Linked DNA regions of Rhinolophus ferrumequinum. The protein of the gene in region 2 purifies or fractionates together with the protein of the main gene of each other region. This does not show direct contact. Links are inferred from orthologs where the notes say so. Each region holds a gene or a part of one and is shown on either strand. Other genes may lie near its edges.

Region 1 (7,112 bases), on a different chromosome or scaffold from region 2:
GGGTCATTTAGAGTAGGAGTATGGTGGCCTAGAATGTGAGAGCCTGATAAGGGAAGGGTTTGGTGGTGTGGACGTAATCAGCTGTTCAAGAGGAACTGACAGCTTCTAGCCAGGGCCTCAAAAATGGATCAAGATAGCATATACTTACCCACACAATCTATATGATAGGAAAAAAATCTTTAAAGAAATTTATGTAAATGGGCCACACATTTTGTTACTTCTCTGATCCCAAAACTTCAATATTCCCCACTGACCGTATATTGCTTTTTAAAGAGTTGAAAAGCACCTCGGAGAACAGGTTTATCTGTAATTTTTGGTCTGAAAACAATGGAAGGAAATAGTCAATATTTCAAAATATCAGTATATTTTAATCTGTATAATATCTGTAACTTTCTGTGTTTTATTTATAATTTTTAATGAAGTTACTGCAAGAGAGGCAGAAGAGAAGCTGCAAGCTGCCTTGTACCCAGCACCTTTCTTACCCCCTTCCACCTTTAGAATTGACATATAACAGCACATCTTGATCCAAGTGAAGTTTTCTGACTCTGCTGAGGCCCCACAGAAGTGAAGGCATCTAACTGTACATATTCTGGGCTGGGAAAACTCATTATCAGGCTAAAAGGTGACAAGTCAGTATGGAGAGAGCTAGACCTCACTTCACTAATGTCCAAGCTAGGGCTTGTTGCAGGCCGGGCCTGCTGCAGAAATGCTTAAAGTTAAGGGCAACCACCCAACACTGCTTAGTCTCTACCTGGAGTCTTTTGCTAGGCAAAGAAACCAATTCAAGCAAGTAACCATCAAGCAAGGGGGTACCATAACTCCTTTCACTAACACAAAGTGCTGTTTGAAAGAACTGTAAATACAAAGGTCAGCCTCCCCTGGTGGGAACTCACATGTTGTTGTTTTTTTATTAGTTTCAGGTGTACAAGACAATGTAATAGTTAGACACTTACACCCCTCACAGTGATAACCCCCTCCCCCAATCTACTACCCCTCTGACATTGTATATAGCTGTTACAATTCCATTGACTATTCCCTATGCTGTACTCCACATCCTGTGACTATATACATATTATAGTTGACATTCAGCCTCAGCTTCAGGTGTACACTGCAGTGGTCAGGCATCTACACTGTCCATGAAGTGGTCTCCCTAATAAGACAAATGCCCATCTGACACCCTACAAAATATTTACAACATTATTGATTATATTCCCCACAGAACTCCTTGAATAAGTATTAGCACTGCTTCATAGGTTCATTTTCTATATTGATCAAGAAAATTAACCAGACAAGGCTGTGACTGCTGAACTTGACTGCATCCCACCTGGGCTATCTTATTCTCATCTCTACCTACCAGATAGAGCACCTGGCCTCAAGGAAAAACATTACATTTGGACAGGACCTATGCTGTGTCTGGACAGTTCAATTTGCTTTCTCACTTCATTCTTTCCTTCTCTCAGATGGGAAAGGGAGGCAGAAGAGGGGCCTGAAAAACCTCCTCTCCCTGAGCTCAGAAATGAAGCAGTTGGGCGGCCAGTTGGATCAGCTGGTCAGAGTGCCATGCTCATGACACCCAGGTCGCCGGTTCAATTCCCACATGGGCCAGTGAGTTGTGCCCTCCACAACTAGATTGAAAACGACTCGACATGGAGCTAATGGATCCTGGAAAAACACATTGTTTCCCAATAAAATAAAAACAAACTAAAAAAAGAAAAAAAATAGTGCAGCAGTTGAGTGCAGACTCCGGAACCAGAACGTCTCAGCTTCATGCCCAGACTGTCACCTACAAGCTGAGCAATCTTAGGAAAGTTACCTTAATGACTCTGTACCTCAGTTTCCTTCCACTTAGTGTGATGATTGTAATAACATCTACCACTGTTTAAATGAGATTAAGTATTCAGAATAGTGTAAAGCACATTGAAGGTGAAATACATGTTAGCTATTGCTATCACTGCTGTGTGGCAGATACTGTGATTTTTGTCTAAAAGCCTTTGCTGAGCTACGGTGATCCTGCCTACCCACTGGTACTCTCCTGGAGAAGGAGGTCAAACTTAATGCGTAAAGTGTTCTTTCAAGGGTTATCAACTGGAAAATTTTAATAGACTCTAGACAATACAAACCTCTGTATCATCTGTTATGGACTAATGGTTTCCAGAGAGGAGCTTATTTTAAAACTTAAAATATTGAAAGTTATTAAATTTGTGATAATCTATTTACATAAACAAAAGGCAGGTAAGTCTGTAAGGACACAGCTTGGGGTGATCTTCATTTGTGGTGAATTCAATTGTTTTTAAACCATGTACCTTAAGGGTACATCTCCGTGCAGTTACTCTCAAGAATCAAAAAAAATCTGAGATTTCAGAGCTTAGATGAGACACTTCTGTAGATACAGAGATGAAAAGAAAGGGTGGAGGACCCCTGGCCCCACAGCTGAAGTGGTCCCCAGTTGGTGAGATAAGCCAGACATTTGTGAAGAAGTCCTGGGATCTGTAACACCAGTGAACGATTCCTGCACTTGCTGTGGAAGTGGGCTTATATGTGACTACTCATATCATAGTGCACATCTGGGATGACTTCCTAGGACTAGACACAGGCTCAAAATCAGTCCAAGGCCCTCGCCTTTCATTCAGAAGACTAGAAAGATTATTGCATCATTGATGAATGATAGAGAACTCTCAGACTTGAAAGGATCAAAGAGCCACTAGGCTCAAAGGCTCTCTTAATGGACTACATGAATATATCTTCCGGGACATGGTTTCATAGTCCCTAAACTTAGAAGCAGTACTATTTTTTGGTTTAATTTTAATATTTGCCTCAGATTGACTACTTCCATTTTCTCTCCAGAAACAGACTTTTCTACAGCATGAACTGTGATGGAGTCATTGTGGGGTTTCTTAAAAATACCTACCTGATTTTAGTAGGACCCGTTTTCTGTAATTTTGCCTTTGATTAATTTTCACCTCTCTGACAGCTCCCGCTTTTACTCTTCCCACTTTTGTCTTTCTTGGAAAAAACATTTTTTGAGAAACAGTGCTCCTTCCTCTACTATCTTCCAGTCATAATCTTACACTATTTCAAGCACTCCCTTAATTTAACTGGTGATTTTAAAATAATATTCTGCTTAACTTGTAATGAGTGCTTGATTATTTTTTTCTTCTTTTTTCTTTTCTTTTCCTTTTTTTAAAATTTTATTGGGGAAGGGGAACAGGACTTTATTGGCGAACAGTGTGTACTTCCAGGACTTTTTTTTTTTTTTCCCAAGTTGTTGTCCTTTCAATCGTAGTCGTAGAGGGTGCCGTTCAGCTTCAAGTTGTTGTCCTTTCAGTCTTAGTTGTAGAGGGCAGAGACCACCATCCCTTGCAGGACTGGAGGAGTTGAACCCGCAACCTTGTGGTTGAGAGCCCACTGGCCCATGTGGGAATCAAACCCGGCAGCCTTAGGAGTTAGGAGCACGGAGCTCCAACAGCCTGACTTTGGACACCAGGCCGGCTCCTATTTTTTTCTTCTTTATGAAGACTTTCCAAAAACAAAATGATAATAATTATTGACTCTAGAACACATCAAGAAAATCTGCTCCACTGTCTCAGGCTGTAGCCATCCATTTTCAGGCAGCGGGTAGTTTCAGATACTAACTGAAAACCGTGCATTCCCCCTGAGTCTTGAGTCACCTTCAGAGTCTGTGGGACTTCTTAGCCCAAGTGATAGTCACATGAGCAACCTCAGTCAACCTAATTCCTCCCTGAAGCCTGCCCTTGGAACCTCCTTTATCCGTCTCTGCGGTTCAGCTTCCTCTTTCTTCCTCAGCAGGAAACGACTCTCATTTACTTCTCTCATGCTGGTCTTTAACCCATGCATCTTTGGGCTCACTGTTTGGGGGCCTCCCCCAGTCAGTAACTTAAAGAGCAATAGGTAAACGCACTGGTCAGCTGAGCCAGGATTGCCGGAGACCAGCCGCTACCCTCGATGCACTCTCCCCTCCGTAGGCTCCAGCCCCGCCCCCATCCGGCTGACCAATCCCCGGCTCTGCACAGAGCGCGTCACAATGGCGGCCTTGCAGCACCGCCCCCGGACGCCTGCCGCGAAGGCCACGCCCCGCCACGGTCTTTGCGTCCTTCCGGTTCTGTGGTGGAAGTAGGACTGCGTCTCGTCCTCCTGGAAAAGGTGGGGTTCCGTGGGGAAACCGACCCTCGGTCGCGCGGGCAGCCAGAAGCGAGGTTGGGGCGCGGGCTTCCGGGGCTGCTGCTCCCGGGCGCTGGGGCGCAGAGCCGAGCGGGGACGGGCACACCGAGAGCAGCAGCGCTTCCCTAAACGCCGCGTGCGCATGGCGGGCGGGAGTTGTGGGCACCAGCCCGCCGCGCGCCTGACCTCCTCCCCCAGGCCCCGCCCAGGGCGCGCTGCCAGGGGTATCCATGGTGATGGTAAACAAGCCTCAACTGTTTCAGTTACAACTGCCAAGTCTCCCGCGTTCTACCCTCCTCTAGGTGCTCAGCGACGACCAAGGTGCCGGGTGTGAAGAAGAGCGGGAGCGTGGAGACTCGGAGCCCGAGGTGAGGGGCGGGACGGGCGGAATCTCCGAGGCCAATAGCCGCACACCTGGGACTGATCGGGGACTGGGCCCCCTCGAGGTAGGGGCGGCAGGGCTGAGAATTGGGTTTGTCCCAGATGAGCTTGAGGTCCAGGGCCTTACATTCGGGGACTAAATCTCAGGGCTGAGATTTGGGGTCCGAAGACGACGGGCCCGCGGCGAGGAAGGGAAAGAGGGCCTCGTGCGGAGCCCAAGCGCCTCTGCCAGGAATAAGGGGAGAGCACCGGGTGACCGTCGGAGAGGGAATTCGTTTAAAAATGAAAGCAGTCCCTCCACGTGGCTGGAAGCGCCGGGGAGTTGCGCAGGACTGGTTGGGAACTGACTCCTCCCCCTCCCACGTTCCCGCTCGCCCGGCCTCCACTCTCGGCCTTTGCGGCCTTTCTTCCTTTTGGTGCGGCGTGTGTGCTCTGAGCGCTTGTCTGCGTCTGTCTCCTGCCGTGAGAGGTATTGTGTCTGCATTTTGGCTGAAACTCGGGTTCTTATTATCTTTGCCTGTTGATCACACTTCTGCCGAACGAGGTTGATTAGTTAGCCGTTTCTTTTTTTCTTGTCTTTTACTTATTTGTATCATTGAATATATTTGGTGGTTCTTGACTGCGCCTAAGAAAGTTATCGACGCTGTAGGCTCTTGCACTGCGCCCTCTGCTTCCCCTGTCTTGTGTGGTTCACTGAAGGTGGCGCCGGCGGCCTGGGTGACGCCGCGCCAGTCGCGTGGACCCTACCTACCCTGGTCTTTAATAGAAACGGTTGGAAAGCCACAAGCCGGGGAGAGCCCCCTTTCCAGGGCACTTAGGAGACTGCCTTCCTGTGTCCCGTTGATCCCGCGGGGTCCCTTCGCGGCAGTTTCTTTACCCTGGAGGCCCGAGGACGAAAGAACGTGGTTAAGTATTTTTCACATCTGTTTGCGGGGTGCCGGGGGCTCCCTGCCATTGCAGGCTGGGATGGGGGGGTGACGAGAGAGGAACCCGCGAGCGGCTGCGCGCTGAAGGGGGACCGTGAGGCAGCGGCAGCTTCCGGGAACCGCGCGGGTCGGCGGAGGGTAGAGGAAGGAGATCCGAGGCGCCTGAGCTTAGGGGCGGCCCTTGCGCGTCCCAAACCTGGTGGAGCAGGGAGAGTTTTGAATGCTGAAATTATCTTTTAATTCACAACGCCATCGATACTACCGATCTTAATGTAATTTTCACTATTTCAGTCACGTTTTTAAAAGTTTACTATCTTTCTGAATTTCTTTCTAGTAATGAAAATACCTTGGGCTCTCTGGTTAGACAAAACATACTAGGATCTATCGGTGAAAAGTGATGTTTTCAGTGCTAATTTCTAGACGAGATTGTTTTGTTAACTGATGTTAAACGAGTCCATTCTTTGTCTTGGGGATCTCATGTTCCTGTCTGCATTTCTGTAAATTGAGTAGGTTTGTTATTTCCATGTTGTGGTCTTTTTGTTTTTAGTTTTTTTTATTTTAGTAACATTCTTTTTGTAGTATTTGCTTTTATTACCTTTTTAAACTGCCAAGTGACTGGTTTTCACTTGAGTATTGTTACAAAGCTCCCATTAAACAAAATATTCAAGTAAAAATGTAAATCGATTTAAGGGCAAAGAGTGATTCAACAGGACAGTTAGTCCTTGTATAGAAGGGCCAAAACTGAAGGAGCGTGTGGAGGCACACGGTGCCCATCAGGAGAGGTGTCTGGAGAGACGGCAGAAATGGGAGGGTTTCCCTCTTTCACGGAGGTAACTTCCCAGAAACTTCCCCTCCGAAGTGTGAGCTCTAGCTCTCAGGTTCTTTGTAGAACCACATTAATTGACCCTTACTGGGTTCGGCACAGAGTTAGGTGTTTTACAACATTTTCTTAATCACATGCTCATAACCAGGCTATAAGGGGGTATTGCTTTTATCCCCCATTTTACAGATGAGAAAATGGAGGCTGGGAGACAAGAAGACACTTGACCAGTGACACAGCTGGGACTAGGACTCAGGTCTTTTTGACAGGAGCAGTCCTCTCCTGCCAGGGCCCCTGCCCCAACCTGGTTGCCCCGAAACAGGGTTCTTGTGCGAGACAAAAGGCAGGGCAGAAGGAGAACCAGGCTCAGCTATGACCAGCCTGGTTTGTTTTACAGCACGTTCCAGACATAAGATTTTTATCCATAAATATTTCAGCTTATATTTCTAAGGACCTTTAAAATATAATCACAATATCATCACACCTAAAGAAATAATAATTCTTTGATATCAACAAATACCCAGTGTTTAAATATACCTGATTGTTTAATAAGTATTTTTATACAGCTGGTTGGTTTGAATTGGGATCCAAATAAGATCACACCTTAATATTTGGTAGATTATATCTCTTTAAGTTATGTTTTAATCCAGAGCAGTCCTGTCCAATAGAAATAAAATAGAAGCCACATAGTTAATTTTACATTTTCTAATAGTAAAAAAAAAAGCAATTCACTTTAATAATTTACTTTAACCTAATGTAGATCCAAAATATCATTCATCGTGTAAATTTTTTAATTATCTTTTTTT
Region 2 (7,788 bases):
CAGCCACTCTGCCCACTTCTGCCCTCTCCTTCCCAGGGCTGCTGTGGTTGGGGGCTGGTCTGAGGGGCCCGGGGACTTCCCTGGGCTGACCCCAGGCTTCTCCTCTCCAGTGAAGAAGGACGATGAGGCCTTTGAGATCTCCATCCCCTTCGACGAGTCGCCCCACCTAGACCCACAGCTCTTTTACAGTCTGAGCCCCTCTCGGGGAAACTTTGAGGGTGAGCTGGGGGTGGGGGGAGTGGGAAGGACGCGAGTCAGCTGGGGTGCAGGGCCCTTGAGGCCTGGGGTGTGACCAGGGTCCCCCACTGTCACTAGAGCCTCCGGAGGCTGCATCCCTGATGAACAGCGTCAGGGCGCAGCTGCACATGGCCCTGGAACGGAACTCATGGCTGCAGAAGCGCATCGAGGACCTGGAGGAGGAGAGGGACTTTTTGCGGTGTCAGCTGGACAAGTTCATCTCCTCTGCGCGGATGGATGCAGGTGAGGTCACCCCATGAGGCTGTCCCCTCAACCGACTCCTGGGCCCTGACACCTAGCTCTGGCTCTTTTTGGGGACACAGGACCCTTTTCACCCACACATTCTTTGGTGGCTCAATGGGGACCTGGCATCCCCATGGTGTCCTTTAACCCCGTGGTGTCTCTGGAACCCCAAGTCCAGCTTCATTCCTGCTTCTGTTGGTCGGCAGGACCCTGTGACCCATCCCTCCTGCAGAGAGGGCTTTCCTTTGCCAAATCTTTAGCCATGTTTTGGAGAATCTCGCCTCTACACTCCCTCTCTTGGTGCACAGCCCCTGACTGGCTCCCTTGCAAGCTTCCACATCCTTCTCTGTGAATTCCACTGAAAGCCAGGACGAGGAGCCTGTTTTTCTTTTTTTCCTTTCAATATTGATGTTATTGGCGACCCCTGTGCTCTGGAACCATCTCTAGCTTGGGTTGCTGGGACATAGTGTTGTCTCCCCACAATGATCGGAACCTACCCAGGATGGTCAGGCCCAGTGGCCTCTGTACTTTCTCAACACTGGACCTCCCCCAGCCCACCTTCTGGGGGTCCTGCATAGAGCTTCAGCGCTCCCTCTTCTAGGTGGAGGCAGGCACCTGCCATTCCCAGCCTACTAGACACAGAGCCTAAGATTTCTCTCAGGCTCTCAATCCTCCACCCCAGGCCTTTCCTGCCCCTAGGGTGTCCTGAGTCCACTCTTCTGGAGGTCCTCCACTGTGGGAACCCCACATAGTCATAGATTCTCCTGAGGTCCCCGGTCTGCTCTTGGTCCATTTGGTTCGTCCTCCAGACCTCTTGCCACCAAGTTTAGGAGTCCGCTGAGCATCCTCACCCAAGCCACAACCCACAATATCCACCCCCAAATCCCAGCTTACTGTCCTATATTCAGCTATCTCTTGCAGGGACCTAATTTCCTATCTACCGGTTTTCTTGGGAGGCCTCCCTTCCTGGGGACCTGTGCGATGTGACCTCCATCCCCACCTTGCAGACACACCTCTTACTTCCTCCTCCCTCCTGTTCCTGCAGTCAATGTGTGTTTGTTATGTCTCTCCCACCTCTCTCCAGAGGACCACTGCCGGGTGAAGCCTGGGCCCCGGCGGGTTGAGGGCGACAGCCGGGGTGGGGCTGGGGGCGAGGCCTCAGACCCTGAGTCGGCAGCCTCCACGATCAGCGGAGTATCTGAAGAAGGCAGTAACGTCGACAGGAAGAGGCAGAGGCAGAAGGGAGGCCCTAGCCGGAGGCGCTTTGGGAAGCCCAAAGCTCGGGAGAGGCAGCGGGGTGAGCTGGGGGCGCGGGGTGCAGTGTGAGAGCTCTGGGCTGAGACTTGCTGTGTCACCTCCCTTCCCTATTTGTAACAGACCAGACCTGCTGGTGGGTTCCAGCCTTCATGTGTGGTCCTGGTTCATACTGTACATTTTGGTCCACCCTCTCTAGACCTTCCCGAACATCAGTAACAAGGGGAAGGGCGATGGCTCAGGTGGCTGGCAACTCAAACCTCTGACCTGCTCTCCTGTTTGTATTTTCCTCCTCATCCTCTCCTCCCGGCCTTCCTTCAATTTTCCTCTCCCCTAAATCCTGTCTCCATTTCTCACATCTCTTCACCGCATTTTCCTCCCGTTTCCCGTTTTGTTCTCCTGCTCTTCCTGTATTGGGCTCCTTGGCCACATCGTCCCTGTCTGTCCCTTTGCTCTGTGTGAGCCCCTCACCGCATCTCTCTTGTCCTCACATCTGCCCTCCCATTTCTGTCCCACTTCCTCCACATTTGAATTCCCCCTGTGGATCTGTCATCTCATGTCTATCTCCACCCCCTCCAACCTCCTCTATCTCCATTTCTTCATCACGTCTGTATCTTCCCATGTCTGTCTCTCTCTACCGTATCTCTATCACCCCTCCTTGGCCCTGCAGTGAAGGACGCAGACGGTGTCCTCTGCCGCTACAAGAAGATCCTGGGCACCTTCCAGAAGCTGAAGAGCATGTCACGGGCCTTTGAGCACCACCGTGTGGACCGCAACACGGTGGCGCTGACCACGCCTATCGCAGAGTTGCTCATTGTTGCCCCTGAGAAGCTGGCGGAGGTGGGTGAGTTCGACCCCTCCAAGGAGCGTTTGCTGGAGTACTCGCGCCGCTGCTTCCTGGCCTTGGATGACGAGACCCTCAAGAAGGTGCAGGCCCTCAAGAAGAGCAAGCTGCTGCTTCCCATCACCTACCGTTTCAAGCGGTGATCCCGCCCACCTGGCCCGGGACCTGCCCTCCGACTCCCACTTCCCTTCCCCTCCACCTTACCTGGAACGTGGGCGAGTGTGTGCATGAGTGGTGTGCCCTCGCTAGGGCCTGGGGGTGGATGGTGTGTTCCCGCGTGTGCCTCTCTCCTCTCCCTCCTGCAGACCCCCACTCCCACTCCTGGTCCCTTCTATACAGACCTGTCCTCCTTGCCTCCCACATTCCCAGCATCATCCCCTCCCTCTGCATTCCCAGCGTTGGGGGTCCTCACTTAGCCAGGCTCCCAAGAGCTACTCACTGCCCAGGAGCTGGGTTCTGCCCTTTCCTAAACACTGGCACCCTTCCTGCCCTCACTGGGTCCTTCCTCCTGGGGAAACTGCCGGATTCTACGGGGCGGGGGCCCTGTACATACCCGTTCTCCGCCCCCAGCCCCGAGGACCCTAATTCCGGACCCCCCAGTCAACGTGAAGCAGATTATTATTCAGAGAATTTAAATTAAAAAGACGATAAAATTTGGAATAAACTAGGTCCCGGCCTCTTTCTGGGAGGGGGTGGCCGTTGCCCTGGAGACAGTGACAGAAGCCCTGGGGCTTCCAGGAAGCAGGCGGTCGGGAGGAAAACCGGGGAGGTTGGGGAGACAGGGTGTAATTAGCACCCCCGTAGGCATTGGTGGGAGGGGGAGTAGCAGCTGTGTTCCGGGAACACGGAGGGGCAGAGCTCTGGAAAAGAGGAGTGAACACTACCCATTGGGCTGTTTGGACTAGAGGCGCGGCGGCAGGAGGCAGTACTCAATGACCTCCAGCACAGGCGGCCACCGTGGCGTGGGAGGGTGGGAGGAGCTCCTCTGGGAGGAGGCTTCCGACCGCCCGCTAGGAGGCGGTAGTGGGACATTCAGTCTCCTGGAAGCGTCCTCGACTTTGCCGGCGGCCGCACTTACGCGGTTGCTACAGCAACCAGGACCAGGCGGCCCAGCTTAACAGTCGGGAATTCAGCTTCTTCCCTGGAAGAAGGGAAAGTCTCGCGCACGCGTGCTGGAGGCTCTGGAACCCGTTCCTCGCGGAGTGAGAAACCGCGCCTCAGACCAACGTCTACGCAGGTGCAGAAGGCCATCTCGCGCCCCTCCTCTTCCATCCTGCGCAGGCGCACAAAGCCGCGCTACCAACCTCCGCAGCGGCTGCGCGCACCGTTCACCCCGCTGGCTGCTTTTGTCTCGCGCAACCTTCTTAGGCCATCCACGAGATCGGCCCTTCTTTTTCTCCACTCTCCCCACCCGGAGAGCCAGGAGTCCGGAGCCGGGACCCCGCCCCTTCCCCGTATCCCTTCCCTTGACCCACCTCGTCTTCGTCCTCCCTCCCTTTTCTGTTCCCCAAGCCGGAAGGAGCCGAAGAACAGACGGAAAAGGCCGAAGCTGTCTCGGTGAGTGGGGCCTTTCCGAAGCGGTGGCGGAAGGAGCCGAAGCTGTGCCAGTGGGGAGGAGTGAGCCAACGGAATCTCCGGAAAGAGCCGAAACTTGGAATCTAGCATAATCTCTGCGGGGCCTGAGGGCGAGCGCTGGAAACCTTCGGGAAGTGCCGAAGACTAGGACGATTAAGCTTGTCAGAAGTAGTGGGTTGCTCAGATAGGGCCGGCGGATAAGAGCGGGGAGCCCCTGCGGAAGCAGTGAAAGACTGGGACGTTTTGAATTGTCGGAAGAAGCCGAACCTTTGGCGGGCAGAGGGTGGTTGGGTGCAGAGGAAGGCGAGAACCTACGGAAACACCCGAACGTTGAAGAGACAATTTCCGAAGAGTTTACAACCTGGGAACTCCGCGAAACCTTCGCTTCGGGTGTTTTCGGAAGCTGCCGAAGACACCGCACCCGACTCCTGCCTCTACAGTCCGGAAATAGCCGACGCGCTTCGGAAACAAGCTCTGGGGGAGGGGCGCTTTGCGGGCGGGCGGGCGGGCCGGCCGGGAGAGGGGTGGAGCCGGGGCTGGGCGGGCGGCCTGGGCTTGATTAGGCAGGAGGAGGCGGCGGCGCGCTGGGGGCGCCCGGAAGTAGCCGAAGCGAGCGGCGGAAGTAGCCGAAGCGGCTGGAGCGGGCGGGCGGCAAGGCGAGGCGAGAGCTGTACAGGGCCTACACGGCCGCTTCAGCATGTCGGACTTCGACGAGTTCGAGCGGCAGCTCAACGAAAATAAGCAAGGTGAGGGCGCCGGGGGCGTGGGGCGGCGGGCGGGGCGGCTCTTGGCTTCCCTCCGTGTCCCCCGCCATTTTCCTCGTCGCTTCCCCGTCCTCTCAGGGCCGCGCGGCACCCCCCCCTCCGTCCCGCGGCGCGCACTCGCTCACGTGACCGCCCGGCGTGCCTCCGCGCGCGGGAGGGGGTGGCGAGCGCGGGCCCACACGCATGCGCGTCACGTTCCGTTCCGCGCCCCACGTGGTTCCCGGCGCAGGTGGCGCGGATGGGAGGGCCCCGGGTGTCCCCTTGCGGACTCCTGTTATTGCTAATCTGAGGAAGAGAGTGTATATATCGGGTCCCGCGATTCCCCCCTTTACTCCCGCTTCCTTGGCACTTCCGGTTCCGGCCGGGCCTGTGGCCTGGGTCTCCACGCCCCCTTTGTTCCAAAATGGCGGTTGTGAGCGCCCCCCTCCCCCCCACCGTTCACGTGGGCTCGGGCAAGGCGGCGGCTTGGGCCGGCCATTCTCCGACGGCTGCTCTTTGCGCGGTGTCCTGCGGACTCGCTCGTCAGGGTTCCCGCCCTGGCTGCTGGTCGTGGGGGGCCTCGGGTCACCGCGTGTGACGCGGGTTCCCTCGTGAAAGGGGCACCCTGTGTTTTATTTTCCACCCTGTGCATTCTTGAAGTATTTCTCCCGCACGTACGTTTTGCGTACACGCGGGCTTTGGCAGTGGCGACGATCACAATGTGGAATGTTTGTTCCCAGTATCCCCAGCTAGAGACAAACACCACGTCTTCTATCCCAAACTCGGGGCATCTAGACTGAAGCTCATAAATCATCTCAACGTAGAGATGGGGAAACGGAGGCTCTTGAGAGTAAGGGGACCTGGGCCAGTTGAGTACCGTAGGAAAGGGTGGGCGGCAAGTACTTGTAGGTGATGCCCAGTCAAAGCACGGGACCACGCGGGTGCCGGTCAGTTGAGGGACTCCAAGAATATTGGAACTGGGAGAGTCGTTAGACGTTTAAAAACTCCTTGACCTTCCTGTTTTGCTTTGAGAGTGAAGAAACTTAGGCTGAGGGAAGGTGGAGGGACTTGAGGCTTAAGATGCCCGTGTTTGGCTGGCCGAATGAGAGGGGCAGGACTTTCCCTTGAACCCAGCCTAGAGTTGAGTAACGGGTAGCTGCGTTAGGAGACAGTGCCTGGGGAAGAAGTCCCGGTTTTTGAGTGCCCTCCGCATGTCTGTCTTCACTCGTACTGCTTAACAGCACAAGCTTGGAAGTTGGTCGTACCTGAGTTGAAAGCTACTTTGTTGCTTAGGTGTGCTACTTTAATTCCTTTGTGCCTGTTTGTTGTCGTCTGTTGATTAATATGGTTTTCACGATTTTTGAAATAAGGATGATAACAGTTAAACTCTGAGCGCCTGTCACGTGCTAGGCACCTTGCTAAGCTCTTTGCATGGTTTTTCTAAGTGGAGCCTTGTAACAGCCCAGTGAGGCTGAAATGATTTTCTTGTTTTTGCAGAGGAGGAAACAGATTCAAAAAGTCTGAAAATTTTCCCAGGTCTGGTCAGAGGCAGACCTGAAATTAAATGGGAAATCGTGAAGTGTGTGGTATGTGGCTTGGCATACATTAAGTGCCCAACAAGCAGTGTTTTATATTGTGAAATCATCCTTAGTGTGATAAACTCACAGAGAGGAAGTAGAGGCAGGTCATCAGCTCCCTCAGAGGTGATGTCAGAGTTGGGGAAGGTGCATTCCAAACCTCAAATCCTCATACACCTGGGGGGAGGAGGTAGAGGGACCCTAGTTTAAAGAAGAAAAAACCAAGTTTTAAAGGTTTAGTTGTTCTTGCGTGGTTTTATATAGTTGGTAAGTGGAAAAGCTGCAACTGACCCTGAGTTCTGGCTGGGTGCATGGCTGGACCGCCAGGTGGAGATGGTTGAGCCCTTCCTTGAGGCCCTTGCAGATGTGCTTGCTGCCTGAGTGCTTGGCCCTCCTGGTACTGGGCGGCCATGCCCTCAGCCCTCACAAGTCCCCTGGGTTGGTAGCTGTTCCCAAAAGGTGGCAACAGTATTTTGAACAATCAGAGCTTCCTTTCTGTTCCTATCTGTCCGGGATCAGTGTGTGTGGGGGGAGAGGAGGACTCCTGCCTTAGGGGGAAGCGCTGCCCACGTGTTGTCCCGCCTGTAGGTCTTTGTCTCTGAGCCAGCCTCCTCCCTACTTTAGCCCCTGCCTAGTGCACCTGTGTCTCCAGGGAATTAATTTCCTGGTCTGCATCCCAGCACCCAGCAGGCATCACTGCTTCCTCTGTGTCGGTTCTTTTCTGCCTGCTTGTCTGTTTCGGAGCCTTAGCAGCAGGAAGGGCTCTTGGGGCTTGTAGCTCGCCCACCTTGTAAACATGGAGCCAGAGGCCCAGAGCCTCCTGTGTGCTTACCCGTGGCTCTCTGAGTGTCCGCTCATGTTTCCAGTCTTTGATTTACTTATGTTTTTGCCTTCAAGGAGATAATCCCATTGTCACTAGTGGTTCCAGCCAGACCCCGGAGTGTTCTGCCTGAGTTCAGGAGTGTGCCTGGTGCTTTACCGAACTTGCTGACGTGACAAAGCTCACGTTCAGGCTCACTACTTCCTTGCTTTTTAGCCTTTGCGCCAGTCATGTGACTGTCCAGTGCCACAGTTTCCCTGTCTGTTACATGAGCCCCCAGCAGGGTATTCCCAAAGCATTAGTAGAGATTAAGTGCAAGTAAAACATTTAACATAGGTTCTAGTTTTAGAAAGCATGCCATTCTTTGCTGCTGTGTCTCTTACCTACTTAGGTGCATGTTTTTTTTGAGTTTCAGGGATTCTGGAATTGAGGTACATTTACAAAAAGTTCCTGTTAAATCATATCAGAAAAATATAAGACAGCAGTGTGGATGAG
Region 3 (7,178 bases), on a different chromosome or scaffold from region 2:
AGTTGTTTCAATCTAGTTGTGGAGGGCACAGCTCACAGTGGCCCATGTGGGGATCGAACCGGCAACCTTGTTAAGAGCATGGCACTCTAACCAACTGAGCTATCCAGCTGTCTCCATTACACTTTATACTGTACTTTCCCAAAATACACACTCAAAAAACACCTTCATGAAAGTACGACCATTTAAAATAGAAGAAATGGGAAATACATACTCTACAGAGAATTTCAAAGTACGTATACAAATTCAATGAAAACTGCAGTTCACATTAAAGAACAAAAAAATTTTTTAAATGTTTACAGCAGTTTAGAAGCTAAAGTAAATCAAGACTGGTTATACTTAGTAAAACATTTTACTCAACTACAATAAAGTGAATGTTTACTATACACATACAAATAAGGTCATCAGCTAATAGAGTGCAAATTAATCAGTAATAATTTTGTAGTTGCCTCTAATTCTGATGAAAATTCAGAAAACTATTTGAATAATAGTAACATTTGAAAAAACAGGATGAACCTTGTTTTGGCCATATTTTGTACAGGAATTGCTACAGCAAGCAATAGAGTACAAAGGCCAATGACATGCAAAATAACAAAACAAAGCTTCCATTTAATCCCCCCATTAATCTATCCAAAAGTACAAATATTTTACTGGTAAAATTATACAACTATGTGTGAGATATAATGCTATTGGTACAAGTCAACAAAAAGTTATTTTATTTTTTTTATTGAAAATAAATTTTTTTTTCAAAGTTACATTTTAAAAAGAACCATATGAAGTAAATTCCTCACTAGGGCCACAAAATTCTAATCTCATCTTACCTCCTGCTCAGTCATAGAGATAAGCACTAGTTACAGCACAGAGATAAGCATGTATCATTTCATACAGCAATATGGAATAGAGAAAAGCCCACCCCCAATTTAGTTTATGAAAGCCTAAAATATATTTCATGGAGAGGTCCTAAAGAAAGCTCAACTTCTAAAATTGCACACCAATTTTTCCTTTATTGTGGGTAGAAAGGCAAAGCAAATGTATATTCCTGCAAGTAAATCTAATGAAAAGAGATTTGAACACTTAATTGTTCCTTTACTTGGTATGGAGGTATGGCCCTCTTTTGCATGAAATGTTATACTCATTTGATAAATAAAAATTCCTGAAAGTCTATGTCCGACTTAAAAGCATTAGAATCTGACTGTAGCACTCCAGAATTTTCTAATTTGTCACTGACACCATTAAGGCATCATATATTCAAAATATAAGCACAATAAAAACAAAAATTTTAAAGCTTAACCTTTGATTACACTGGGTTACATTTAAACATATTCAGTCTCTAACAGAGTAGGAAACATTTAAGCTAACTGAAAATTTGTTTCTAATATTTAAACCAGGGGCACAAAGTCATTCCCGAAAAAAAGAGCGGTAAGGATTACTAGCTTGCGCAATTAAAAAAAAAAAAACACATCCTGAGCCCCTAGTCACAAATAAGATCCTTAACGGAAAGGAAGAAACAAACAGATTAATCAGTAGAATTTGATTAAGTTTCTTATACGGACCTGGAAAATACAAAAAATAAAGCTTTCAGGTGCACTGCAGTTAGGCACAATTTGATTTTTAAAAATGTGTTACTACATAAAAGACAGTAAAGATGTGAACAGCAGGTTTAGAGCTTAAACGTCACTGCTCTAGTACGAGATCTTTTGCAAGGATGCCCAACATCAGACATCACAGCTCCGCGGCTTAGTTCTAGGCCAACGGTGGCCTGTGAGATACCGGAAAAACATTGCATTCTCACTTTCTGCACCCTTTCAAAATGTAAAGCAGATCCCTTGGAGGGTATCTAACATTTTGCTTTTGAAAATCGGGTCACATCTACATCCCTTTATTTTTAAACTATAGCGTAAGCATTTCAGGTGGGCATTCTTTATTTTAACCACTCCACTGATCTCTTGGTGAGCTACCATCTTTCCTGTTCCATCCAACCATCGCGCTTCTAAGTCTTCCTTTTGCCCAGACCACCTATCTTCACAGGTATTTTCATCAGAAAGGCCAAGAACGACTGGGCCTCAAAGGCACTGCCAGCCCTCTACCATCGAGGCAGGACCCAGCGCACCGACTTTTAAAGGATCTACATGGGTCCAAAAGTCAAAGGACTTGTTGCAAACGCGCCCACATCCAAGCCGCCGTCTGAAAGTGTGAGGAGAGGAGGAGAAAGGCGGCACGCCGAAACCTGTCGCAAACGCGAGCAGGAGGGCCCAGGAAACCCGGCGCGCGGGATACAAAGGGCGGTGAATGCGGCCTTCCATGAGGCGACCGTGCGCGGACACGGAGACAAAATGGAGCGACGACAGGAATCGGAGCCCGAGCGGCAGGCAAGGCCGGGGAAGAGGCGGGGGCCGGCGCGCGCCCCGCCGGGCTCGCTCCTCGACCTGGCGGCAAGGGAGGGGGCGCGGTAGCGACCCGTGCTGAACCCCCGCCACACACACGCGGCCCCACTGCCCGGGCCTAGTGCGGCGGGAAGCGCCCGCCCGCCCGCCGCCGCTAACAATGGGAGGCGAGGTAGCGGCGAGGGAGGGGCCGACGGCGGCTGCACAGCGGCCCGCGTCCGCGCTCTGGGCCCCCGCGGCTGGCCGCACCGCCCTCGGTCTGCGAAACGTCGCGGTAGAACGAGGGGCGAGAGGGACGCCGCGCCGGAGCCGGGCGGCACGGCCCACGGGCGGCAAGGGCGCACGGGCTGCAGCCGCGCCGGCTCGCAGCCCACGACTGGCCCGGCTCAGCGTCCGGGCCGCAACCCTGCCCGCTTCGGCGGCGTAGGCCTGGGGCCCTCACGTACCTGGTTGAACTCTTCACCCACATCCGCGTAAATGTCTATGTGGTCCACACCGTCCGCCATTTTTCCTCGGCCTCGGCCGCTGCCGCCGCCGCCGCCTCCTGCAGGTCCGCCCGCCGCGGCAGCAGCAGCGGATCTGGCGGCGGGGGCGGGGCGCGCTGCGTCACTTCCGAGGCCTGGGGGATTGAGGCGGGGGCGGAGGGGGGCTGCCTGGGGCAGCGGTCTCCCGTGCAACCTCGCCAGGCGGCGGGCCCAGAAGAAAAACTGCGTCCCTGAGGGTAGAGGCAGTTTCTTTTGTGTGTCTGGGTTAGGCCTGCAGGCGAGAGCGGGGCCGCGGGGGGGGGGGGCGGCGGGGGGGGGGCGGCGGGGGGACGTCCCAGTTTCCAGAGACTGTTTCCACGTTGCCCCAGGCACACGCAAGCGTGTGGTAATATTTTCTCTTCCCACTGTTTCTCACAGCTCGGGCTTCTAGAAAGGTGGGAGTTACATGTCCACGATTAAATACGAAGTGTAAATTCGCATTCTACGAGCGCCTTGAGAGCGAGAACAAGGTCTTTACCCCTGCATCCCTACTCAGAGACCAGCAGAGTTTCATTTGCCTCGTAAATGCCAGAAAACCCGTTGATGGTTAGCTTGAGTTATTTGCATGCGACTTATGTTATTTGCGTGCTGTTTATGTTTCCGGCTCTGTCTTAGGTCATCTTCTTTCATCTCCTCTTCCCCAATTCATTGTTCTTCATTTTTTCCTTCTTAGATCTGACGTTCGTTTTCTTTGGAATAATTCAGATACCTCTAATTTAAATGCAGTCAGCTTAGAGCCCACCCAACAAGGGGCAGGCTCCTTGAGGCAAGAGGTTTCTCTCTTACAATCACAAAATATCCCAGTGAGAAGGGAACCAAGGTGTTACTAGGTCTAAACATCCCATTTTACAGAAGAGGGAAAAAAGGCCTTAATAAAATCAAAGTGATTTAACCATTTTCAGTAAAGAAAAAACTCTTGCCACCCATACTTCAAAGATATCGTTCCAGTTTGAAACCTGACCCCCCCCCCATTTTAATTTCTTTTTCATTCATTTAAAAACCCACCAAATTAGAGTCTGTTTCCCAAGATATGAACTGGCCAGAAATCATTCATACAATGATGAACCAAGCAATATCTGTACTTGGTATGGAGGAAAAAGCGTGGAGTCATAGACGTCAATCTGGTGATCTGGATACAAATTTCTAGTCAGACTCTTTGCAAGCTGGGTGAACCTCCGTCAAGTTACCTAATTTCTCTCATGTTCAACCTTAGAATCCTTAAAATAGGGGTAATAATATTTGTTTAGTCAAGGTTGAAGGTTGATGGTGGTTTTAAATGAGGTAGTATGCAAAATGCCCTGTCTTCTTTTGCTTCTTGGAAATACTGTACTAATTTCCTTTTTTCCATGGGGCTTCGTAGAACAGCCACTCATGATAAAAGATGGGGACAGTTTTGAGATAATGTGGTGGGCACAATAATGGCCCATCATCGATGGCCACATCCCAATCCCCAGAACCTGTGAATATGTTACCTTACATTGCAAAAGGGACTTTGGGATATGATTAAGGATCTTGAGATGAGATTATCCTTGTTTTCCTGGTGGGCCCAAAGTAATCACAATTATCCTTATAAGTGAAAGAAAACAAGAGAGTCAGAGAAGATGTGATGATAGAAGCAGTTTATGTTCTTTCAGTGTACTTAAAACTGATTTCCAGATTCCGACTTCTGTTGTTACCTGTGAAAAGTCAGCTGTCAGTGTAGCTGTTTCTTGGAAGGTTATCAGGGGGGTTTTATCCCCTCTGGCTGCTTTTTGAGATTTTTTTTCTCTCAGGCTTTGGTGTTCTGCTCTTTCATTATATATGTTTGGAAGTGTATGTCTCTTTATTTATAATGCTTGGGATTTACTGGGCCTCCTGAATACATTGATTGATGCCTTTCATGAGTTCTGAAAAATTCTCAGTCATTACTTTTTCAGATATTGCTTCTGCCCCAATCTCTCTTCTTTCCTCTATGCCTCCAATTAAATGTTATATCTTTTCTGTTTACTATTTACTATTTCTCTTACCTTCTCTTTTTTATTTTTTTATCCTTTTATCTCCGTATGCTTCATTTTGAATAGATTTTTTTTTTCTATTTTCTATATTATTAATTTTCTCTCCTATGGTGTTAGCATCTAATTCTTTGCCAAAATTGTCAATCTTGGCTTTTATCTCTTTGAATGTAGCAGGTATCATTGGTATACGATCTGGGTCACTGATAATTCCAGTATCTGGAGTCTCATTGGGTCTGTTGTTGGTTCTTTGTTCTAGTTATTTGTTGTATAGTGTTCATGCTGGTTCTCACTCGTGTTGTCTTTTTACCTGACTATATTTGTGTGCTTGACATTTTAATTGAAACCCTTGAAGATACAATGTGAGACTTCTGATGGTTTTGTGTTTTTTTTTAAATAAAGGATTTTCATTTTCTTCTGGCAGGTACCTTGGGGCACCAACACATCCAGATGATTGGGAACCTTGAGGAAACTAATTTAGTTTGGCTTGCCTTTACCTCCCAGGTGCTGTCCTTTTGAGGACCAGCCCAAAACCTGATTTACCAGAGTCACCACTCTTGGCAGGTCCTAGACTCTATACTTTGTTCCCCTAGATGTCAAAAGTGCAGCTCCACCTCTCAACCATATCGTTTGAATAATCTAAAAATGTCTCCCAGGGCAAAAGCACTCTGAATGCATAGACCCAATCCTCTTCTGCTTCTTGACCAGGTGATTCCTCACTCGCTCCCTGGTTACCTTTTTGATAATTTTAAAATATTGTTTCAGGTGTTAAAAAGAAACAACAGACCCCAAATGGAGTCACTTGTAGTAAGCCCTACCATGCCTTAATAATACCTAACTTCATTGCAGTTTCAGCCTCTCTCAGGAGTGAAATTTTAAACCAATCAGTCTGGAATTTCCTGGTTACCACTAGTTTGGTAATCTATCTGATAAGACCCCCTGCCTTCTGCTAAGAAGAGGTGCCCTTAATAGTTCACTCTTAATGTTTTCTCCCCCACTCATTTCTACATATAAAAGCCATCCATTTTATACAGCTCCTGGAGCACCTTTCTTTTTTCTAGATGGGATGCTGAGGAATTCATAAGTCATTCAGTAAAGCCAAGTAGGTCTCTAAACTTACTCAGCTGAATTTTTCGTTCTTTAGCACAGGGTACCTCCTTACTTGACGATGTTTTAAAAATGAAATATCATTATAGATGACCAAAAATGCATAATAATAACAACAAAACACTCCACCACTTATTGACTACCTTCCATGCACCAACGTCTTCGTTAGACATCTTATCATTATTAATGTACGCAGATGAAAGATTGGAGACTTGAGTTCTTGTCCTGGCTTTACTACTGACTAGCCAAGTAACCTAAGAGTAGTCCTTTCCCTCAAGTCGTCCATGAAGGTCCCTCTCAGTTCTGAAATTCTATTATTCAAACCTACATAGAATTGAAAGTCCAAAGTGCCTTGGGAGGAATTCGACAATGGTATGTTAACTGTTGCAGCAGAACTTCCTTCTAGCCCACCTGCATTAGTTTCCTATTGCTGCTGTAATGAATTTAGTGGCTTGAAACCACACAAATTTATTATAGTTGTGGAGGTCAGAAGTCCAAAATGTATCTCACTGGACTAACATCAAGGAGTTCGCAGGGCTGCGTTCTTTCTGGAGACTCTAAAGGAGAGTCCATTTTCTTGTCTTTCTCACATTCTTTGGCTCTGGACCCCTTCCCACAATGACATCACTAAACGGTATAAACGATAATAAAATCAAAATATTTAAGAAGAGTAGTCGAGAGGTTAGAAAAGAAGTAAATAATGTCCTAAGGTTATCTCTATATCTGCTTCTGGCCTTCTAAGCTTCTCTGTACATCTACTTCTCTGTATAGAGGAACTCGCCTTTCCTTGCACGTGGCTATGCGACAATGGCAACATCAACTTCAGAGTTCAGATCTCCACCATTGAAGAAAATGGCCATCTGTCTTGGTTGCAATTGCAAAAATCTAAGGAGTAAGCAACTGATCAGTTCAGTTTTTATAGGAATCTACTCCTAGTCCAGTGAAGTTTGTCGAAGGGGATAGGGGTCACAGACTAAGAACATGGCTTAAGAATTCTACTCTGTGAGTTAGGAAAGGGTGGAGAATTGTCCATGAAAGAAGGTTGCTTTGAGCTAAGCAGACATCCCAAAGGTTGTCTAACACATTTCACCTATGGTATGACAACATGTAGACAAAGGCCTGATGATTGGGGAAAATCCATAATCCATAAATAGTTCACACATGCTATCAATCTC
Region 4 (7,355 bases), on a different chromosome or scaffold from region 2:
TCTCGCTTGTTTTTTTCTTTCCGACACGGTGACGAGTGGGATCGGGAGTTCGAGCAGGGGATGGAAGTCTCTGGCGGGAAAGGGGAACTAAGTGACTATATCTGGGCTGTAGAGTGGGTAAACTGGGTCTTTGAATTTGGGGTCGAAGCCTCTCCAGCCTCTGGGCATTTCGGGCAATGTAGTTCTCGAGTCCCGTGATGCCTCGTAGGCATTGTTCTAAGGAAGGGGCGCCCGAGAGCCCCTAGTCTTTTGAGAAACTTTTCGCGCGCTAAAAAGGCACAAAGGGAAAAGGTGTTTGACGTGCAGTTAGAGGCACCCAATGGTGGGGAAATGCACCTGCACCTTCTGAGAGCAATTTCACACCCGGACTCTGGAGATGGCTCCCAAAATGTTCATTTAATTTTATGCAAGGAAAGGAACAAACTCCCAGACCTGAGCTCTACCAAAAAAAAAAAAAAAAAAAAAAAAAGGCGGCATGGCGAGGAGGAGCGACCAAGGATTTGAAAGGAGGTGATCCCTTGCTGGCTTTGTGATTCCAGGCACGTTGCTTCATGTCTCTGAGCCTCATTCGTTTCCGCATTACTATAAAGTACTATAAGGTCCTAAAAATACCATTTCACAGTAGGTGTGGAGATTCACTGAAGTAACAGAATGAAGATTTTAAAAAAAACATCCAAGCTGCTGTCCAAATGTTGTGATCACATTGGCTGCCATTGGAAAGCTCCCCTCCGATGTTAAAGCAGTTCCTGAAACTCAACACTCTAAAATGGAACTCTTTTTCCCTCCTCTACCTGAATCAGCCTTCTAAGTCTGCCTTCTTCCCAGATCACGCACTCAGTAGCAACCAGTCAGTCATCAATCCCAGTTGTTTCTTTTCTTCAGACGTTTCACAGTACATCTCTCATCCATCTTCCTCTGTCTGGATACTCATCACTTCCTGCCTCTGCTAAGGGTCTCTCTGTCTTCCCCAGCCGTCTCTGGTAGCATCCTGGAAATAGTTGGAACTTTACATTTGCTTTTGAGATTGTTTCTGATTTGTAGGACTACCACCAATCTCAGGTCACAGACTTTCCCGTGCAAGAAATGTAGCTTTCCCCCACTATGACTAGCTAATTTCTTTTCAACTCTTTCTATATGAGTGGTGGAAACAATCTCAGACAGTTCAGGGTTCTTCCCACCCTTGATTTTTCAGGTTATACAGACCTTTTGGAAAATTAACATGGGGGTGGTGGCGGGAGGGGGTGGGGTGGGTGGGGGGATTCATCTAATCCTCAGTGTCTGTTGTTTGAGCTGCATTGTCCTGCCCAAGCCTCTGTCATGTCAGATGAATTCGAAAAGAGTCTGGAGACTTTGCTAGAAGTAAATTATAAAAATTAATTCAAGGGCTTTAGAGTTTGCAAATTGGAAACGCAGCTAGGCAAAAAACAAACAAACAAAAACAAACAAACCCAGGTGTGTCCCAAAGAAGAAAGAAAAGTTAAGAGTTCATATAGTTAAACGAACATTTTTGAGAATTATCAGTCCTGCATTCTTAGCCCTAGGATTGGTCCCAGGTGGTTATCAGTCAGGCAGTCTGGATGATGGATGCCAGGTGGTCCAGGAGATGGGCACCAGGAGGTCTGGTCTTGTCAGTAGTCTGGATACGTGAGTCCTTCAAGAGGTAACCAAAATTATCTGGAGGTCTGGTATATGTCTGGATGCATATCCAGGCATTGATGCAGGACTGGAAATTTCAAAAAGTTTAAGTTCCCCTGCTAATTAGAACAAGAATGGAGTCTTTCCTCATGCCTCAACCTTCATGTTAATAATTTTAGCAGCTTGGTTAAAATGCCTCAGTTTTATATATCCCTGATCTTCACTCTTTCCTCTGTCACTTGTCCACACAGTTTGCCACAGAATCTACCTACGAAATGCAGCTTCTTTGGAGTTATTGGCCAATGTGTTCTCTTGCTTTCCAAGCAGCCTTGGCCCTGGGAAGCAGGGCATAGAGTCCCTTTCTTGGGGATCCATCAATAACTACGCATATATACCTTTCTTCCTGTGTCTCCCTTCCTAGCCTAGGGAATTTTTATCTCCTCTGTGGGAAGGTTGAGATTGGGGGAAGTAGGGAGGAATCTGAGATCAAGTTCTTACCTGTAATATTTACTCCAAAATCAGTTGCCCTGAATCCTTTCTATCGCCTGAGGGGCTGGCTTTTGAAACACAAAAGGCTGGAAAGGACTCCCCTTTTCCTCCATCCTTCTGTCACAGCCATAAGCTCCCCAATATAGGGATACCTCTGGGTTTGCTCATAGTGGGAGCCCCAATGCCTAGTTCAGTGCCTGGACTAGCATACAGTGGGTCCTCCATTAAGATCTGTCAAAAAAATGAATTACTGGGTCTCTTGCCTTCCAGTCTGTCCCCTTCCAACCCATCCAGTAATATCTTCCAGAGGAATCTTCTGGAAGTGTGGTTATCATTCCATAGCTCAGTGGCTGTTCTTCTGCCAGCCCAATCAAGTCTAACCACCTCTAGCTCAAGACCCCACCTAAACAGATCCATTTTATTTCCTACCACAGCCAAGAACTTAAGATGCCTGGTCTGTCAGGCAATCTGTCATTCAACCAACAACAGTTATGAAGTTTCTGCTATCTGTCAGGCATTGTGTTACACTCTGAGAAACAACAGTGACCAGAGAGCACAACTATGGTTCCTGCCATCAAGGAGTTTATGGTCTAGCGGAGAACCCAGACATCAAACAGATCCTTGTGAATAATTGATTATAGTTATCCAAAGTGGCTCAGAGGAATATTACAGACTACTGTGGGCACTGAACTTCAGTGAGAGGTCAAGAAAAAGGCTCCAGAGGAAACACCACTTAAGGTGAGGTTGAAGTTTATTTTGGAGGGGATGGGAGAGGAGGAGAAGGGAGGAAGTTGAGGAAAGTGTTCCAGGTGAAAATACTGGAACCAGCCAGAGTAAGTTTGAGGACTTGAAAGACCAGTGTGGCTGGAGAGAAGATGGGGTGAGACTATGGTGGTCGGCATGAGCTAAATGGTGCAGGACTTGGGGGCAAGTTTCCTCTGCCAGAAACACTGTTCCTCATTCGGGTCTCAACAAAAATGTCACCTCCTCAGAGATGCCCTCCCTGAATACCCTGCTTAAAAGTAGCCTATTCCTCCCATCCACAGCAGCTCCTATCTACTTTACTCTGATTTGTTTTATTCTTAGCACTTACCACTCTTTGGAATTTTTTTTTTTTTTATGTGTTGATTGTCTATATGTCTATGGCTCCCCCCTTCCCCGCAATAAAGTGTAAGCTCCAAAGAAACCTTGTCTTTCTTATTCACCATTTGTATCTCCAGTTATCAGCTAGGAGTTACCCAGTCAATATTTGTTGAATGAATGCAAAGCCTGGAGAGTAGTGGGAACAGATTTTTCATTGAAAGTAGATCACTGGCTGTTCCGTGGAAAATGGAGTAGGAGGAGGCCAGGTTGAAAACAAGACCAATTAGGATGCTATTTTATTGATGCAGGGGAGAGATGACAGTAGTTTGGCTTGGCTTTCGGGATAATGATAACAAACATGAATATTTATATTTTACTTACTATGTGCCAGGCTTCGTTCAAAGCACTTTTTAAATATCAACTCCTAGCAATAACCCTATGGGTTGTTAGTTCAACACTTGTTATCACTGCCCTATTTTACAGATGAGGAAATTAAGGCAGAGAAGTTCACACCCATTACTAGCTGGGTGGAGCTGGGATTAGAGCACGCAATCTGACGTCAGAGTCCATGCTCTTGGCCACTAAGCCATAATACCCTTCACACCTGCAACTTTTATTCTTCTCTCCAAGCCTTTGCTTGTGCTGTTCCTCCTTTTAGGATTCTTCCCTTCTATCTGAATATTGCCCGTCTGTTAAAGTCTAGCTCATTCACACCTCTTCAGCAAAGAAGACTTCACCGACCATACCTGGATGTCCTGCTGGTTGGTCTGGATCCCTTATAGTCCGCACCACGTTCTGTACATGATTTCTGGGAGTACCTTATAGATATCCACAAAGAACCCTACACCATCTGAGTTGGAAGGGAGGTGGAAGTCATGTAGGAAAGGGGAGATCGCGGAGCAAATTGGTAATAGGGACAGGCCTAGAACGGTTTCTTGGTCGGTGTTAGTTTCTCAACCCGTCTGCGTTGGCGCTTTCTTCACCGGGTCTCCTAGCAGAGTCTCTAAATTCTCACTGCATTATGGGAAATGTAGTTTCAGATCTCCTCCCGCGGCCCCTCCCTTCTCCCGCACTCGGCGGCGCTTAACGGAAGGAGCCGAGCCGTTCCGGAAATAGTCGAGTGTCCCGTGGCGGGCCCTTTCCTGCCCGGCTGCATTCTGGGAAAGGGCAGTTTCCGTTAGGGGCAGGAGGCTGAGGCGCGCGAGCCGCCGCAGTCCCACGTGAAGGGCTAAGGGAACATCGCTCGACTGGGGCAGCTCCCCGCTCGCCGCGGGGCTTCCCGGAAGCAGCGGGGAACCGGAAGTGGCCCGCGGCAGGTCAGAAGCTAATCCCGGAGCCCGGTGTGTGGCGCCTCGGAGCGCAGCGACGGCGCCATGTCCCTGATCTGCTCCAGTGAGTATTGGCTGCGGCCGATCGCGGGTCACAGGAGGCCGGAGAGCCGAGCGGGAGGATCTGCGGGCTTCTCAGGCGCCGGGGCAGGGGCGGAGGTGAAAACGGGGCTCCTGGGAGACAGGGCAGCGGCCTGTCAGCTCGGAGGTGGTCCTCCTCCTTAGCGTGGGGTGCATTTGCGCAGCGCTTCACAGTTTACGTAACGCCTCAGGTTTATTGTCGCAGGCATTGCTGAGCTTAACCACCTCGTTTACGCAGTGGAAACTGAGGCCTGGACACAGGGAGCTGGTGCAGGGGAACCAGCTCTGGTGTAGGAATCAGGATACCCGAGGGCTTCTGCAGGGTCCGCCTCCGATTGGCTTTGCGATCTGGTGCAGGGCCCTGGGCCTCAGTTTCCCATCTGCAAAATGAGGGCATTGTACTGGGTTTTGTAGGGGGTCCCGCTCGGGTAGGCAGAGCTTCTGCAACTTGTGAAGGGCACAGTGAATTAGAGGTAGTGACAGGGCTGGAAGCCAGGTCTCTAGCTTTCAGCCTCGGAGGCGAACATTTGTAACGCCTTTATTGGTGTACAGCGCACTTCCAAGCCTGTGAGCTCATTTTATCCTCACGCCAATTCTCCAAAGCTGAAATAAAGGTCCGCTTTCTCAGACGAGGATGTTAGGCTCCGGGAGAGTGTGGCTTGTCGAAAGCTGCACAGCTAGTAAGTGGCCGAGCAGGGTGATGGAGCCAGGTTCTCTGACCCGGAATCCATGCCTTTTTTTCATGCTTGTATCATCTTTCCTTTTGGTATTTTATCGTGGCTTGCAGATGTTTTCCATCCTTGTTGTTTCATCATCCCTTTCTCTATTTGCTTCCTAATTCTCAAGCCCTTTACTCTCAGAGCCTCTCCATAAATCAAAAAGAAAAAAAAGGGGGATGGGGGGAGAAGGAAGGGCCCTGACAGCTAGGAAAAGGAACCCTTCACATTGAAGAAATCACAGTTTGTGGAGTGTTTTCACATTCACTGTTTCCTTTCAGTCTTGAGGAAGCTCTTTTCCATCCAGCACCATCCTTCCTCTCATTCACTCATCTGGTAGGTGTTTACCGAGTGCCTGCTGGGGATCTGCATCGTACTGGAAGCCAGAGACAGCTGCAGTCTCCTCCTGGAGGGCTGCACAGACCACTGAGGCAGGCGTGTAAATGATACCTCTGTTGGGGGTGACTGTGAGGATGAGAAATCAATGGAGAGTGTTTACAGTCGTGCATGGCAAACAATGAAATGTATCATATAGCACTTGTCACATTGCTTTATCATTTCATAGTCTGACAGTCTATCTAGGCTCTAGACTGAGATTTGAGTGGCTTAATGTGTGTCTCCAAAGCATCTTTGTTCAGAAATGAGACGGGCAGCGCTGATTGACTGCTCTCCAGGGGCCTGGCACATAGTAGTTGTGCAATAATTATTTGTTGAGTGTAGGAGAAGCTAGATAGGTAGCTGGAAAGCATGCTGGGGACAGTACAAAACTGGCTTGGTGTCATGTCTTAATTCCTGTTAGTTCAGTGTGGGAACCCGGGGTCTTGTTGGGGCCGGCAGCAGGTGAGGCATCCCCTTGGCCCAAGTTCCCTTTCACCCCCTGAGCTCACGGCCTGCCTTTTCTCCACAGTCTCCAATGAAGTGCCAGAGCACCCATGTGTGTCCCCGGTGTCTAATCATGTCTACGAGCGGCGGCTCATTGAGAAGTATATTGCAGAGAATGGCACAGACCCCATCAACAACCAGCCTCTGTCTGAGGAGCAGCTCATCGACATCAAAGGTGCCTAGGGGCTGCCTCAGTCCAGGGTCATCTTAGCTCCGAGCCTGAGACGGGGGAGGTGGTGCCAGCTCATGGGAGGAGGGGCTAGTGCCCTGGCAATGCAGACTAAAGGGAGAAGAGTGGCGGAGAGGAAAAGCAAGGGTCCCCTGGGTTTTGGTTCTTCATACCTGCTTTTCCTCTCTCGGCAGTTGCTCACCCAATCCGGCCCAAGCCTCCTTCAGCCACCAGCATCCCGGCCATTCTGAAGGCCTTACAGGATGAGTGGGTGAGTTTCTGGAAGAGAACTAATATCCTCCCCACTTGAAGAGAGTGATCACTGGACTAGGACTTGGGGGTGGGAAGGATGGAGCATTATTTTCTCTTTTGTGGGGCAGGATGCTCACAGAGTAGGAGACTGGTTGTTGAAGTCACACAGATCTGAGTTCTACACTGAGCTCCGCGTGCCCTTGGACAAATCACTCGTATTCGAGTCCTGGTTTTCCTGACTGTACAACACAGATTAGTGTCTGTCTCTCGGGGTTTTGGGAGAATTAGAATAAAATTAGATTAGAAGTTGCATGACATGAGGGACTTGTTTAATTCATTGGTATATCCCCAGCACCGACAGCAACACCTGGCACACAGTAGGTGCTCTAAAATAGGAATGAATGAATATATCTTGAGGGACTGCCTGGCGCAGTGCCTGACACAGTGAGGGCAGTCAGTAAATAGCAGCAGCGTTTTTATTCCCTTTTGGTGAGGTGATGGCATGACATCTGAGATTTGCCAGTAAATTAGTGGAGCTGGGGGTGGGGAAGAGCTGGCTCCCACTCCTGTCCGTGTGCCCAGTGTTGGGGCAGGGGCTAGGAGCTCAGGAGTCGCTCACTCTCTGGTTCTGGGCCACTCAGATGGTGCTGGGGTCACTGATACTGTTCTAGGCCGTGAGCATTGGCGGCAGTGTCCTCTTCTCGAGGGCTGACGCTTCTG

The links.
Region 1: the proteins of U2AF2 (region 2) and HNRNPF fractionate together in Homo sapiens (co-fractionation; 3 studies listed by BioGRID, with this or other methods). This does not show direct contact. The link is inferred for Rhinolophus ferrumequinum from reciprocal best matches to the Homo sapiens genes U2AF2 and HNRNPF.
Region 3: the proteins of U2AF2 (region 2) and CPSF6 fractionate together in Homo sapiens (co-fractionation; 3 studies listed by BioGRID, with this or other methods). This does not show direct contact. The link is inferred for Rhinolophus ferrumequinum from reciprocal best matches to the Homo sapiens genes U2AF2 and CPSF6.
Region 4: the proteins of U2AF2 (region 2) and PRPF19 purify together in Homo sapiens (affinity purification with western blotting; 3 studies listed by BioGRID, with this or other methods). This does not show direct contact. The link is inferred for Rhinolophus ferrumequinum from reciprocal best matches to the Homo sapiens genes U2AF2 and PRPF19.

The regions. Positions count from the first base shown.
Region 1 is NC_046299.1:66,653,786-66,660,897, forward strand, and holds the start of HNRNPF (heterogeneous nuclear ribonucleoprotein F), read left to right. Parts: upstream 1-4,103; 5' UTR 4,104-4,161; intron 4,162-4,481; 5' UTR 4,482-4,547; intron 4,548-4,890; exon of another isoform or gene 4,891-5,029; intron 5,030-7,112.
Region 2 is NC_046298.1:48,710,107-48,717,894, forward strand, and holds the start of U2AF2 (splicing factor U2AF 65 kDa subunit), read left to right. Parts: upstream 1-4,783; 5' UTR 4,784-4,850; coding exon 4,851-4,899; intron 4,900-7,788. Other genes in the region: CCDC106 (coiled-coil domain-containing protein 106), read left to right, coding at 111-218, 316-480, 1,565-1,777, 2,405-2,721. UniProt on the Homo sapiens protein: Plays a role in pre-mRNA splicing and 3'-end processing. By recruiting PRPF19 and the PRP19C/Prp19 complex/NTC/Nineteen complex to the RNA polymerase II C-terminal domain (CTD), and thereby pre-mRNA, may couple transcription to splicing.
Region 3 is NC_046293.1:65,272,700-65,279,877, reverse strand, and holds the start of CPSF6 (cleavage and polyadenylation specificity factor subunit 6), read right to left. Parts: upstream 3,012-7,178; 5' UTR 2,888-3,011; coding exon 2,828-2,887; intron 1-2,827. UniProt on the Homo sapiens protein: Component of the cleavage factor Im (CFIm) complex that functions as an activator of the pre-mRNA 3'-end cleavage and polyadenylation processing required for the maturation of pre-mRNA into functional mRNAs.
Region 4 is NC_046294.1:9,871,247-9,878,601, forward strand, and holds the start of PRPF19 (pre-mRNA-processing factor 19), read left to right. Parts: upstream 1-4,355; 5' UTR 4,356-4,580; coding exon 4,581-4,599; intron 4,600-6,239; coding exon 6,240-6,389; intron 6,390-6,577; coding exon 6,578-6,654; intron 6,655-7,355. UniProt on the Homo sapiens protein: Ubiquitin-protein ligase which is a core component of several complexes mainly involved pre-mRNA splicing and DNA repair. Required for pre-mRNA splicing as component of the spliceosome.